Linked DNA regions of Macaca fascicularis. The protein of the gene in region 1 interacts with the protein of each later gene in a pairwise test. Links are inferred from orthologs where the notes say so. Each region holds a gene or a part of one and is shown on either strand. Other genes may lie near its edges.

Region 1 (4,947 bases):
ATTTAGACAGGCAGCATGCTAAATTTGGCATGTGGACCATAGTTTACCTGGATTTATATTGTAAGATTTTGTGTAACATGCTCTGTGTTTCAGTAAATATATTACTGAATGTTATTCTCATGGACCGTTTAAGTTGAATGGACCCATATCATTTGTTCATTTAGTGAATGTGCTTTATTGTTTATTTGTGACTAGACATTGAGTCATTTTTTATTTGTGGACCATCTTCTTATTCCAGAAACCAAGAACTTGATTATAGTTTTCAAAAACTGTAAGCAGTTAAGCAACAAATTGCATTTTGCTCTACAATGCTGTAGAAAAATTACATTTGAGAGTGACTTTTCATTATAGTTCTGAATCTAGATTTTAATGTTTTCAAATAATTGCCACATCAGCTGTCCTTCCCTTGCTCATGACAGGTGTTACATAACATGGATTACAACACTTTCCTAATAAATCAGATGCCTTATACTCCTCAGTACAGCAATCTTAATTGGCCACTATGAATGAATAAGAATTTGCATGGGAAATGAAATCTCATTCAGTATGATATTGGCTGTGGGTGTGTCATAAATAGCTCTTACAGTTTTGAGATATGTTCCATCAATACTTAGTTTATTGGGTGTTTTTAGCATGAAGGGGTGTTGAATTTTATTAAAGGCCTTTTCTGCATCTGTTGAGATAATCATGTGGTTTTTGTCATTTGTTCTGTTTATGTGATGGATTACATTTATTGATACGTGTATGTTGAACTAGCCTTGCATCTCAGGGATGAAGCCAACTTAATCGTGATGGATAAGCTTTATGATGTGCTGCTGGATTCAGTTTGCCGGTATTTTATTGAGGATTTTCGCATTGATGTTTATCAGGGATATTGGCCTGAAATTTTCTTTTTTTGTTGTGTCTCTGCCAGGTTTTGGTATCAGGATGACGCTGGCCTCATAAAATGAGTTAGGGAGGAATCCCTCTTTTTCTATTGTTTGGAATAGTTTCAGAAGGAATGGTACCGCTCCTCTTTGTACCTCTGGTAGAATTCGGCTGTGAATCCGTCTGGTCCTGGCTTTTTTTGGTTGGTAGGCTATTAATTACTGCCTCAATTTCAGAACTTGTTATTGGTCTATTCAGAGATTCGACTTCTTCCTGGTTTAGTCTTGGGAGGGTGTATGTGTCTAGGAATTTATCCAATTTTTCTAGATTTTCTAGTTTATTCGTGTAGAGGTGTTCATAGTATTCTCTGATGGTAGTTTATATTTCTGTGGGATCAGTGGTGATATCCCCTTTATCATTTTTTATTGTGTCTATTTGAAATCCGTTTGTCATCGGGTTCTCATGTTTTAGAATAACAGTGATATCTTTGGAAAATACCTATTTTAGGAAGCCTAAAAATAAAGTTGGTATTATTTCATTAATGTTTATATATTTATTGTGAATGCTAAGTGATGAAATATTTTTATGTACACTTTTGGAAAGGTTTCGTAGTTTTTATTATATCTTGGAGCCCTTATCTTCTCTAAATCCTAAATCTTATACAGCTTCATTTTATGTTAAATATCAGGGGAATTACTGTAATTAGTTTACAGTTGGTTACACCATATATATTTAGCCAGCATGTAGATATCTGGGACTTGCAGATGTCTGGGACTTACAGGAAAAATTAAGAACCTCTGCACCTCAGAGTTTGAACATCATTGAAAAGAGCACTGAAGAAATTAACAAGGTAAAGATACAATTTCCCTACCACAATCAGATGTGAGGAGAGAAGAAAGTGGTTCAAAGAAGCAATTTAAATGACAGAAAAGAACTGACAGAGCTACAAAAAGGACAAGAAGAAACACCACCTCAACTTTGAGGCTTCTAAATAGTGATAATTAGTTTTAAGGATGTCATTATGTCATCCTGAGCTACTCTGTGTTCATTTATGCTAAATATTCTGTTTATGAGTGAAATGTATAATACATTTTTTAAATCAAAACTACTTAAAATGAATTTAATTGCATAATTATCTCTCAGTTAACATTTTGAAACCAGTCATCTTTGATTCGTTCTGATCTTTTACTCTTGACAAATTCTATCTGTTCTGCTGTTGAAATCCCCCTTCATTTCATCCTTAATATAGAATATCCTAATTCAGGTTCTTTGTTTTATCCCCTCAGTGACAGCAATAGTTCCTTAACCAGTCTTGTTATCTCTACTGAAATCTCTCTCTGTAGCCCATTTTTCCTGATGTTTCCCCATCTCATATATTTCAGATAATATACCAGTATTTACATATTGTATCAATTTTTCATTTTTTTCAGAAACTAAAATATGAAACAAGTACTTATATATATATATTTTTTCTTTTAGTCTGAGAATAAAGGATTAGAAACTACTAAGAACAATGTAGTTCAGCCAGTTTCAGAAGAGGGAAGAAAATCTAAATCCAAACCAGGTAGGTATAAATATAGTATTCAGTCTATGTAGGTTTTTTTAATCCTATGTAGAAACAAGTGCAAGCCAAGGGTAGTCTTAACAATTGAATATGCTGGCTTTAGTTCTGTGAATAGTGTGTCAAGGTATAGAGCAAGTTGAATTGGTGAGGTAACAATTATCTTAAAGTTTTTTTTTTTTCTTTCTTTCCTATTTAACTTTAGGAAACTGAAAGACCCCTCATTTCTTAATTGTTGAATGAGAACTACTGACTTGCACATTTTAAAATTTATTGGCATAGTGCATCATGTCATTTCTTGTTTGGCTATCTGAAAGTAGTAATTGCCTATGTGTACATTTGTTTTCATTTTTTCCCCTCAGTTTGAACTCAATATAAGCTGGTGATTAGAGTGTTTTTCTGATCTTTATAGATAAGCAGCTTATCCAGTATACTGCCTTTCCACTTCTTGCATTCCTCGATGGGAACCCTGCTTCTTCTGTTGAACAGGCGAGTACAACAGCATCATCAGAAGTTTTGTCCTCTGTAGATAAACCCATAGAAGTTGATGAGCTTCTGGATAGCAGCCTAGACCCAGAACCAACCCAAAGTAAGCTTGTTCGCCTGGAGCCATTGACTGAAGCTGAAGCTAGTGAAGCTACCCTGTTTTATTTATGTGAACTTGCTCCTGCACCTCTGGATAGTGATATGCCACTTTTAGATAGCTAAATCCCCAAGAAGAGGACTTTACATGTATATATTCATCAAAATGATGAACTATTTATTTTGAAGTATCATTTGGTACTTTTTTTGTAAATTGCTTTGTTTTGTTTAATCAGATACTGTGGAATAAAAGCACCTTTTGCTTTTCTCACTAACCACACACTCTTGCAAAGCTTTCAGATGTTACTCAGCTGCATAGTTACACAGATTTAATGCACATTATTGGCATATCTTTAAGTTGGATTCAAATGGCCATTTTTTTCCAATTTTGGTAAATTGGATTTCTTTTTATTACAATATGACCATTAACCTCAGTTAAATTTTTGTTTGTTTTCCTGTTTGATGCTGTCTATTTGCATTGAGTGTAAGTCATTTGAACTAATGGTATAACTCTTAAAGCTTTCTCTGCTCCAGTTATTTTTATTAAATATTTTTCACTTGGCTTATTTTTAAAACTGGGAACATAAAGTGCCTGTATCTTGTAAAACTTCATTTGTTTCTTTTGGTTCAGAGAAGTTCATTTATGTTCAAAGAAGTTTATTCATGTTCAACAGGAAAGACAAAGTATACATGAATGTTCACAGTCTGATAGGGTTCCAGCTCCATATATATAGAAAGATCGGGGGTGGGATGGGATGGAGTCAGCCCCATCCACTTAGTTGGACTAGTTTTAAATAAAGGTTTTCCGGTTTGTGTTTTTTTGAACCATACTGTTTAGTAAAATAAACACAATGAATGTTGAGTACTAGTGTCTGTTATGTGTCTTCTTTAGAGGTGACACTCACATGAAACAATTTTTTCTTCTCATAGGAAGCAGTGGCTTTAAACTGTCTATGGTTCATTACTCTCAATATGAGTCACACCAAGATCTTTGTACCACATCTCGAAAATATATTGTATATTGCAACGAGGGAGATATATCTCTAAATTTAATGTATTTTGAAGTTCTTTGTTTAAAAATTATACTGGGTTGCTTTCTATGTTTCTAATAAAAAAGTGGGAGAAGTATGCCCCTCATTGTCCCAAATAGGGTAAGAGTATTATCAGTGGATGTCTGGAGAGAAGATAAGAGAAATAGTAAAATCAGCTCTTTCTTTGAAACAGTCGCCCAAGAGAATTATAGAGACTTAATGCAAGGCCAGGGCACTTTTATCATGTGAAGAATTTCACCTTTGGGCAAAGGACTGAAAACAGTACAGTTAATATTGTATAGGGCTATTTAATGAGGAGTTTCAGGGCAGGTTTTCCTATTGGCCATATTCTGTCCATGTCTTAGAATTTCTTTTATTATGATGTAATGATTCAAAGTAAAGGCTAGCACAGAAGAATAGGAAACTTCCCTTAGGGGAATTTTAGTTAGATCCTAAAATACTTGGCTCTGACAGTGGGATCTTGGTGAATTAATTCAAGACCCTACAACAGTGCTCTTCGTGAGCTGAAGAGGTTACGTTTCTAAGGGTGATAAGAAGAGTTTAGAAACTGAGAGGAGAAAACCTTAAAAGATTTTTTCTTCATTCCTTTCTCATTGTGAAATACAATCAAGTTTCTTCTTGGGGGCATTTTGGAGCTCTAGAAGCTCTTCAAAAATAATTTTGAAAAACTTGATTACGACCCTGGTACTTTTAAAGTTGACATTTCAGATTTTTCATCTTAAGTTTAAATAGTTGAAAGGAAATTAGGATAATAGTTAATATTGCTGTTCTAAAACATAATTGTTATATGTTTCTCTAACATTTACCTAAAGGAACTTGAATGCCATAATGATTTGATCTCTCATCCAATCTACTTCCTCCAAACAATTTTTTTTTTTTTTTAAA
Region 2 (4,947 bases), on another chromosome or scaffold:
GCACATGCCTGTAATCCAGCTACTTGGGAGGCTGAGGCACAATAATAGCTTCAACCCTGGAGGTGGAGGTGGCAGTGAGCCGGGATCGGATCACTGTACTCCAGCCTGGGCGAGTATCGGCATTGGGGGAGTGAGGGGTCAACTGCAGGCGTGTAAGGTCAGCAGACTACCTCTGCCTCAAAAAGAGAAAAAATAATTAATAATAAAAACCTTAAGAGTACTACCGAGGAAGTGGGCTTTGAACAGCAGTTTTGATTCTGGCCTTAATCCTAAATTCCTAGTCTCTAGAGAGGTTAGAATGTTTGACTGTTGTGTGGTTCCCTTCTATCTGTGGGTCTGGTGGACTAAGCAACAGGCTTTATCACGTTTCTTTGGTTGCTTTGCTTTCCTTTTTTTCCCGGGTACTAGAACACACACTCACAGGGGAGAGGCAGATAGCCTTTTACCCCTGCTTAGGCTCCGCCTTTGTTTACTGTGGGGCAGATAGCTCTACTCCCAGCTTGCCTCCCCTTTGGTGAAGTTTAAATTCCCCAAGGACACGGTATCTCCCTGGTTAATGCATTTGTGAGCACAGGGAACTCAAGTAGTCCTTTACTCACAGGGCTGAAGCCTAACTTTCTAATACTCTTTCATTTGAATTTTCATCTGTGGCTTTTATCTAATAAGAGAAACCCCAGTGTGGCAGAAAGCCAGATTTAGGCTAATCCCCTTCTGTCCTTGGCCCTGTTCTGCCTGAGAGTACCATCCCACTGTCAGTTTCTTTACTGAAGGGGTTGACATATTTGGGAAATCTCTTTGGAGTGGAGGATAGCTGAAGCTGTTGTTAGCCGTCTTATAATGTGACTGAATTACTGCTGCATGCCACTCCTCCCCCAATCCCCCACCCAGGATCTTTGCTTCCTGGGCAGTGGAGAATCCTATTATTACCTGAAGGGAAGGACCACAGAATACTGTATATCCTCCAAGCTGGGCAGAGATAGGTCAGCTGAAACATCAAAACCACATCTGGAGGGGCATGCTAAAACCTAAGATGATTAGGAAAGTGCAGAGCTTAATGTTTCCCAGGGCCACAGGTAGCCTGGTCAACAAAAAGTAGGCCTGTTCAATCTCTTGGTACCCCTTGGTATTATATGACCTGACAGGGACAGGCACTGTGCATAGACTCATGAGGGAAAAGTCAGCTTGTCTTCCTTGTTCCTTTAAACAAAGTATCAAATCTTGATTCTGCAGGCTTTTGTTTCATTGTAAAGAGAACTGATCCTCTGTGCTAGCAGAAAAGAGAAAGGCAAGGTCCCATTCCCTCCCACCCCACCCCCGAGGGGTTCTCTGAAACTTTGCTAGGCCTCCCATCTCGGGTTCTGCTTTAGATACAGGCTTGTTCATGTGTGCATGCTCTTAGGAGGGCACCAAGATGTGTTTCCACCCCCTCCCTTTTCAGCCTTGCTAAGAATTCTATTGTAAATGCTGATTTGTGGGAGAAACTGCCTGAGCCAGCTTGCTGTCATGGCAACTATACACCCCCGCCCCAGAGCCTGTTATCTTCTACTCCAGTTTGGGTAACTACTGGTGAGCTGGATGATGCCTTACATTTCATGAGCTTCCTCTAAATCTAGTTGTATTTTTCGTCTGAGGTGGGTAAGTCATTTTACTAGCAGTGTCTCATAGTTCTTGCCTGATAGCCTTCACTTGTGGCCTTGTTGGGTTTGTGAGGATAAATGTGTGTTGTTACAGAGGACATCTGTTTTTCTGGAAGAGGCAGAAGCAGAGAATACTTGTCTTTGTGGTGTTTTGAATAGTGTAGTTAGAAGCACAAATGGTTTGTTAGTAATTTCAGCTTATGTTGACTTCTCGATTTTCTTTGCCTGGTGGCTAGATTAGCCCCAGCCCTCTGCTTCCCTTCCTAGTCTCTTCAACCACTCATGTTTGTATGTGGAAGTTTTTGTGCCAATCCTGATTGTTAAAAAGGAGTCTTTTGGTCTATATTCTTCCTCATCAGAGCTAGTGGCCCAGGCTATATCTATAGCTGCCCCAACTCCTGCCTGCCAGGAAGAAATCAGGGTAATAGAATTCAGGCACAATCTGGGCTATAGAAGAGAGATCGTGTTTACCAGGCACTTGGATAAGCATCTGAACTGGGTGGTGTAAGGGGCATATTAAATTCTCGTATATTGTTGCAGTCAGGGTACCTCCCACCAGTAAAGGTAGTGGGGAAGCAGTCATGGAAAGAGATTTTCCTACCATTAGAATTTATCCATCCACCTACAGGCTGCCTCCTTCTTTCCTTGTTTCTTATTCCATTGCTAGGGAAACCCATCCAGGATGGGTTTACTTGGACTCTAGCCTATACTTCATTGTGAGATGGAGGCCAGGGGGAAGATTGCCATAAGCTGTATTAGAGGTTGAAGCTAAGGGGATGGCTGGAGGAATAGAAAGGAGACAATTCAGAAATTTGGAGGAATGGTAGTGGGTGTGGTGGAAATGTTCTTTCTTTTTTGTTATGCTGTCAAAACAGATAATTTTAGCCAGAAGCAGCTCCTTGTAGCCAACTTAAAAAAGGAGTAGGGGGGCACAAGTTTAAGGGATGGTGAGTAGGCATCCCAACAATGTTCCATTCTTTTGCTTTCCAGTCTGGAAGGCTATTCTGGAAGACGTTCCCTTGGCTAGTTATTTTTCTGATATATTAGGGTAAAGTGATCATAGGAATAACAGTTTGAGTTAAGCAGCAATTAATAGGTAATCCAGGATTCCCTCTTTTTTTTTTTTTTTTTTGAAATAGAGTGTCACTCTGTTGCCCAGGCTGGAGTATAATGGCACGATCTCAGCTCACTACAATCTCCACCTCCCGGGTTCAAGCGATTCTCCTGCCCTAGCCTCCCGAGTAGCTGAGACTACAGGTGCCCGCCACCAAGCCTGGCTAATTTTTGTATTTTTTTTTTAATTAGAAATGGGGTTTCACCGTATTGACCAGGCTGGTCTTGAACTCCAGACCTCGTGATCCACCCGCCCCAGCTGCCCAAAGTGCTGGGATTACAGGTGTGAGCCACTACACCCAGCCAGGATACCCTCTTTAAGAAACCTTGCAGGCCGGGCGCGGTGGCTCACGCCTGTAATCCCAGCACTTTGGGAGGCCGAGGCGGGCGGATCACGAGGTCAGGAGATCGAGACCATCCTGGCTAACACGGTGAAACCCCGTCTCTACTAAAAATGCAAAAAATTAGCCGGGCGAGGCAGCAGGCGCCTGTAGTCCCAGCTACTCGGGAGGCTGAGGCAGGAGAATGGCGTGAACCCGGGAGGCGGAGCTTGCAGTGAGCCGAGATCGCGCCATTGCACTCCAGCCTGGGCGACTAAGTGAGACTCTGTCTCAAAAAAAAAAAAAAAAAAAAAAAAGAAACCTTGCTTATTTATTTATTTATTTATGTATTTATTCTACTTTATGAGACACTTAGACGGTTACTAAGGATGAGATATGCCTCTGAGCCAGAACTCAGGCAGAAGGAACACTTCATTGACTTTCTTTTCTGACTGCAGTGTGTTTAGGAATTTGAACTGAGTCCAGGAAGTGGGTGGTACTAACTCACTGGGCTGGGCAAGGAACTGAGTTTTAAACCACTCTTCCTGTGGAACATATGGGAGTTCGTTGATGGGAAAGGGAGGAAATATATATATATAAAGTTATGTCTGCTAGATCTTTTAACAGCTGAGCTAAGACAAGTTCTACCCTGCGAGACTCTGGCTTTTTCATGGTAGTCAACCCCGATCTTAATGTCGTAGTTACTTCTTTTCACCATGCCTCTGCTTCCCTTGTCCATTCTTTCCTTCAAATGCAGGCTGAGGCTGAGGTGGCCTCCTTGAACCGTAGGATCCAGCTGGTTGAAGAGGAGCTGGACCGTGCTCAGGAGCGGCTGGCCACTGCCCTGCAAAAACTGGAAGAAGCAGAAAAAGCTGCTGATGAGAGTGAGAGGTGTGTAGTGAAGCCTGATGGAGTGTGGATTTTAAAAGACATTCATAATAGTTCCGATCAAGATTTCCTTATAGACTGTTTTTCAAATAGCAGTTCTGGCTGCATGTGGTGGCTCACGCCTGTAATCCTTGCACTTTGGGAGGCTGAGGCAGGAGGGTGGCTCGAGCCCAGGAAATTGGGGCTGCAGTGAGCTGTGATTGCGCCACCGCACTCCTGGGTGACAGAGCAAGACCCTGTCTCAATCAATCAAGAAAAATAAAATACTAACTCTATCATACAGGATCTCCTTTCTTTCTTTTTTTTTTTTTTTTTTTTTTTGAGACAGAGTCTCGCTCTGTCGCCCAGGCTGGAATGCAGTGGCGCGATCTCGGCTCACTGCAAGCTCCGCCTCCAGGGTTCACGCCATTCTCCTGCCTCAGCCTCCCAAGTAGCTGGGACTACAGGCGCCCGCCGCCACGCCCAGCTAATTTTTTGCATTTTTGGTAGAGACGGGGTTTCACGATGTTAGTCAGGATGGTCTCAATCTCCTGACCTCGTGATCCTCCCGCCTCGGCCTCCCAAAGTGCTGGGATTACAGGTGTGAGCCACCATGCCCGGCCCAGGATCTCCTTTCTATTCTGCATGTTCTGTTCCTTTGAAGACAGTAAGGGTAACTTAGATGTTGTGACCCTTTTGTAATTGGTATTTCCCTACAAATTGGCCCAATGATCCTTAAAATGGGATCACCAGTATGACTTCCACGTTCTGGATCATAAATTTCTATTTGTGAGATTAATTTCTCTAAAACAGAGGTTCTCTAAGTAAGGTCTCAGACCAGCAGCATCGACAATACTTGGGAACTTGGTAAAAATTCACATTCTCAGCTCCTATCCTGATCTACTGAATGAGAAACTTTGGATGTGGGGCCTGGCAATCTGTTTTTAGTAAGCCTTCTCAACCCTGGTTGCATTATTAGAATCTTAGGTGGGGTAGGGGGGAAATCACTG
Region 3 (4,947 bases), on another chromosome or scaffold:
GTTCACCCTTGCTGGCCACACCAAAGCAGTGTCCTCTGTGAAATTCAGCCCGAATGGAGAGTGGCTGGCAAGTTCATGTACGTAGCACTGAGGTCCTTAGCTGCTGGGAAAGGCGGTCTGAGCTGCAGACAACAAACCGGCTGGGGGTGGCTGGCTTCCTCACCTGCCGCTGGGGGGCTGTAGCAGGTGGGCGTGTCTCCTCCTAGAACTGTGACCTTAGTGCCGATTGAAATTGCCCGTGGGGGCTGGGCGTGGTGGCTCACACCTGTAATCTCAGCCCTTTGGGAGGCTGAGGCGGGTGGATCACAGGGTCAGGAGTTTGAGAGCAGCCTGGCCAATATGGTGAAACCCCGTCTCTACTAAAAATACAAAAAAAAAATTAGCCAGGCATGGTGGCACATGCCTGTAGTCCCAGCTTTTGGGAGGCTGAGGCAGGAGAATCACTTGAACCCGGAAGGTGGAGGTTGCGGTGAGCCGACATCATGCCACTCCACTCCAGCCTGGGTGACAGAGCGAGACTCCGTCTCAAAAAAACGAAAAAAGAAATAGAAGAAGTTGCCCGTGGGCCCTTGGAGGGAGGGGAAGGGGACTGGTCCTCTCGGGGATGTGGCCGTGCGGAATGGGTTCTGAGCCATGTGGTTCATGCTGATCATCTGGGGCTCATGTGGGAAAAGCCCAGACTTTGGATTCTGGATGACTGGACAACTGTGTCTTGCTCTTAGCCTCCGATCCTTTTGTTTTCTTTCAGCCGCTGATAAACTCATTAAAATTTGGGGCGCGTATGATGGGAAATTTGAGAAAACCATATCTGGCCACAAGCTGGTAGGTTTCAGCCCCGTGCGGTAATGTTGACTGTTGAACAGGGTGGCTCCTAGTGATCAAGGGGTCAGGGCTGCTTCGAGAGCTGTGGGTTCAGGTTTAAATTTCCACGTTGTTTTTTTAGAGTTATTTGCATCTTGAACTTTTAACGCAAATACATTTGACTTCCCACGGAGGAGTGTCTGTGAGGCTGGCAGAGCTGCGGAAAGCCTGCTGTTTTCCTCCAGGGCCGCGTGTCTTTTGTAAGGTTAAGGCTAGTGAGAAGATTTCCTGAGGGCAATGGGGATGTTTGGGATTTTGACCTTTTGCTAACCGGTCCTACTTTGTCCTGGCAAGTTACTGACCCTGTTTTTTCTCCCCAAGGGAATATCCGATGTAGCCTGGTCGTCAGATTCTAACCTTCTTGTTTCCGCCTCAGATGACAAAACCTTGAAGATATGGGACGTGAGCTCGGTAAGCAACACTCAGCGCTCCTCTCCAGGGGAGACCGGCAGCGGGGCACAGGGCGGGTGGTGGGGACTGGGTTGACTGCTCGGTAAGCAGCACTCAGTGCTCCTCTCCAGGGAAGACTGGCTGCAGGGGCATGGGGCGGGGGCAGGTGGGGGAGGTCGAGTTGACTTCGGGGAACAGCCAGTTGCTGGCGGGGCATCAGGCATGCTCTGAGCTGTCAGGCATTGATGAATGTGATCCGACACTTATGTTTGGGGAAATAAGCACTGGAGTAATACTACTAATACTCTTGTTTTAGGGGAAGTGTTTGAAAACCCTGAAGGGACACAGTAATTATGTCTTTTGCTGTAACTTCAATCCCCAGTCCAACCTTATTGTCTCAGGATCCGTGAGTGTGGCCGGGGTGTCTTCCCTGGGGGAGGTGGTGTTGGATGTTGGGAAGGCTGTTGAACTTGCTTGTAGCCACTGTGGAGAAGGCAGGTGGGGCCCGAGTCCTTTCTGTGCTGTTTGTGGGGAGGATGGACTGGTGGCAGGTCTTGGGTTCTGGGGAGGTTTGCTCCTTCTCCTTCCTGTAGAATCACTGTCATTTCTTCTTTTGTGTTCAGTTTGATGAAAGTGTGAGGATATGGGATGTGAAAACAGGGAAGTGCCTCAAGACTTTGCCAGCTCACTCGGATCCAGTCTCGGCCGTAAGTCCTGCTGACACAGACGGGGTGGTGTCCGGCACTACGTGCCTCTGATGCTGGATGTGGCCAGCTGTCTCCCCGAGGGGCGTAAGCCTGGACGTTGCCTGTGCCTATCTGATTCCTGCTGTCATGCCACAGTCTAGAGCATTCAGGTTGGAGGCTGGGACCTGAGAGATGAGTCCTGTGTGCAGTAGAGGGATGGCAAGGGGGTGGTGAGGTGTCAGTGGGGTGCCCTGTGGTGAGCACCAAGGGGCCTTTCGTGCAGGCTGGATGAGGGGTGGGCAGTGGCCACAGGCGTTCAGAGGGTAGTGTACCCTGAACTGATGCATGGGACAGGAAGGGCGGCCAGGCTGAGAAGGGTGCTGGGAGTGGGAGTGTAGGTGAAGTGTGAGTTTTGAGTGGAGTTAGCTCTGGGCGGGGATGGCCCAGTCCTGGTGGGAACAGTTGGAAGCTGGAGCTCTCTGGAGAACAGGCTTTGCAAAGGAACACATCCTGCCATTCTGCTGTTGCTGTACCACTGTGCACAACAAATGACCGAGAGGCCGAGCATGGTGGCTCACACCTGTAATCTTAGCACTTTAGGAGGCCGAGGTGGGTGGATCACTTGAGGTCAGAAGTTTGAGACCAGCCCGACCGACATGGTGAAACCCCGTCTCTACTAAAACTATGAAAATTAACTGGGCGTGGTAGTGAGCGCCTGTAATCCCAGCTCCTGGGGAGACTGAGGCAGGAGACTCGCTTGAACCTGGGAGGCAGAGGTTGCAGTGAGCCGAGATCGTGCCACTGCACTCCAGCCTGGGCAACAAGAGCGAAACTCCGTCTAAAAAGAAGAAAACAAGAACAAATGGCCGAGAGTTAAAGTGTATGCAGTATCACAAACCGCTCCATTTCAGAGTGGCCAGAAGGTTCTTCTGTTAACAAAGTGCATGAGGCAGTTTCTCGGCGAAGCCTGCCCTTCGTTGAGAAGCGGAAGGAAAGGTGGATGCAGCGTTTGTGCCATGCTGCCCGCCAGTGTGGCATTCATTTTCTGTTGTCTTGGTGGTGAATGGGTTTAAGCATTTTTACCCTTGCAAGGCTTTGCCCGAGTGAGATGGCAGGCGAAGCCCTGGTACTGGCTGGATGGGTAGTGTGTCAGGCCAGGGCGGGGTGCGGTGTCTGAGCCCCGCACATAACCGGGCCACAAGGCCCTCGCAGGCCCAGTGTCACCGCTGCAGGGAGGCTGTTTGCTGTGGGAATGTCATCATGTGGCCCTGTGCTTGTGGCTGTGTGCTCGTGGGCCCAGCCCCTTGGTGCCAGTCCCCTGCCCTTCAGGGCACCTTGGGTCACAGTCAGCAGAACTGACTTTCAGACTGGGCTGACAAATGAACACTTGTGAAGTAACCTGAGAAAGGGGTTCGCTGGTGGCCTTTGAGTTGGAAGAAAGAATTCCATGAGCATCCTAGAGGCCAAAGATAGTGCAGGTGGGACTCGCAGGTGATAGGCAGGATTTTAAAAGTCTTTTTCCTACGAAAGTAGTTTGCTCATAAAAAGACAAAAACAAAAACAGGTTGGGTGCCATGGCTCCCACCTGTAATTCCAGCACTTTGGGTGGCTGAGGCAGGAGGATCCCGTGAGACCAGGGGTTTGAGACCAGCCTGGACAACAGAGTGAGACCCTGTCTCTATACAAAAAGCAAAAAATTAGCCAGACGTGGTGGTGTGCACGTGTGGTCCCAGCTACTTGGGAGGACAGGGTGGGAGGATTGCTTGGGCTCAGGAGTTTGAGGCTCTGGTGAGCAAGATGGTACCACTGCACTCCAGCCTGGGTGACAGAGTGGGACCCCATGTCTTAAAAAAAAAAAAAAACTACAAAGGTGAGCAAATGTAGGAAGTAGAAAATGAATTCCCTGAGTCACCCCTGGGGTCAGCTGCTGGGAGGTGGAGTCGGTCCCTCTGTGGTCTTCTACTTTGCTGTTTTAGGTGCGTCTTTTCCAGCGTAGCTCACTGCTGTCCTTTAAGTAACTGGTACTGCACCACAGCTGCTGCTCTGTAGCCGTCTCCACTGCAGAGAGGTTTGTGGGGGCTTTGTTTTTTCTTTTTTTTTTTTTTTGAGATGGAGTCTCACTCTGTTGCCCAGGCTGGAGTGCAGTGGTGCGATCTTGGCTCACCGCAACCTCTGCCTCCTGGGTTCAAGTGATTCTCCTGCCTCAGCCTCCCAAATAGCTAGGATTACAGGTGCCCACTACCACGACTGACTAATTTTTGTTTTTGTTTTTTTTTTTTTTTGAGACGGAGTCTCGCTCTGTCGCCCGGGCTGGAGTGCAGTGGCCGGATCTCAGCTCACTGCAAGCTCCGCCTCCCGGGTTTACGCCGTTCTCCTGCCTCAGCCTCCCAAGTAACTGGGACTACAGGCGCCCGCCATCTCTCCCGACTAGTTTTTTGTATTTTTTAGTAGAGACGGGGTTTCACCGTGTTCGCCAGGATGGTCTCGATCTCCTGACCTCGTGATCCACCCGTCTCGGCCTCCCAAAGTGCTGGGATTACAGGCTTGAGCCACCGCGCCCGGCAATTTTTGTATCTTTAGTAGAGACAGGGTTTCACCATGTTGGCCAGGCTGGTCTCGATCTCCTGACCTCAAGTGATCCACCCGCCTGGTCCTCCCAAAGTGCTAGGATTACAGGCGGGAGCCACCGTGTCTGTCCTGGGGCACCTTTGATGTCTGCGCACATCTATACTCTTGGACTGCTGGTGTGGGCCTGCTGTGTGAGCAGGGACTGTGCCAGTCCTCTCAGTGGGTGCTTATGTGTAATTCTCACTTGAACAAAAAGGAGTGCAGCGAACATCCTGTTTGCATCTGTGGCAGTTTGTGAAGGATGACTTTGGAGGGGAAATGCAGTAGTCAGGATATGTGTTTAGCTTTTTGACAGGTACATTTTGGAGCTTTAGAGACTTTGAGGCACGTGGCCCCCTGCTTACTGCCTCCCATCCCTGTCCCATCTCTGGCCAGGGTTTGC

Evidence for each region.
Region 2: the proteins of HSF2 (region 1) and TPM3 interact in binary tests that used the Homo sapiens proteins (3 or more experiments, as listed by UniProt). The two-hybrid records come from large-scale screens. The link is inferred for Macaca fascicularis from reciprocal best matches to the Homo sapiens genes HSF2 and TPM3.
Region 3: the proteins of HSF2 (region 1) and WDR5 interact in binary tests that used the Homo sapiens proteins (3 or more experiments, as listed by UniProt). The two-hybrid records come from large-scale screens. The link is inferred for Macaca fascicularis from reciprocal best matches to the Homo sapiens genes HSF2 and WDR5.

What each region holds. Positions count from the first base shown.
Region 1 is NC_088378.1:26,395,663-26,400,609, forward strand, and holds the end of HSF2 (heat shock factor protein 2), read left to right. Parts: intron 1-913; exon of another isoform or gene 914-1,069; intron 1,070-2,346; coding exon 2,347-2,431; intron 2,432-2,840; coding exon 2,841-3,136; 3' UTR 3,137-3,875; downstream 3,876-4,947. UniProt on the Homo sapiens protein: DNA-binding protein that specifically binds heat shock promoter elements (HSE) and activates transcription. In higher eukaryotes, HSF is unable to bind to the HSE unless the cells are heat shocked.
Region 2 is NC_088375.1:106,985,462-106,990,408, forward strand, and holds part of TPM3 (tropomyosin alpha-3 chain), read left to right. Parts: intron 1-3,827; coding exon 3,828-3,961; intron 3,962-4,947. UniProt on the Homo sapiens protein: Binds to actin filaments in muscle and non-muscle cells. Plays a central role, in association with the troponin complex, in the calcium dependent regulation of vertebrate striated muscle contraction.
Region 3 is NC_088389.1:5,230,165-5,235,111, reverse strand, and holds part of WDR5 (WD repeat-containing protein 5), read left to right. Parts: coding exon 1-77; intron 78-748; coding exon 749-822; intron 823-1,182; coding exon 1,183-1,272; intron 1,273-1,567; coding exon 1,568-1,657; intron 1,658-1,874; coding exon 1,875-1,958; intron 1,959-4,947.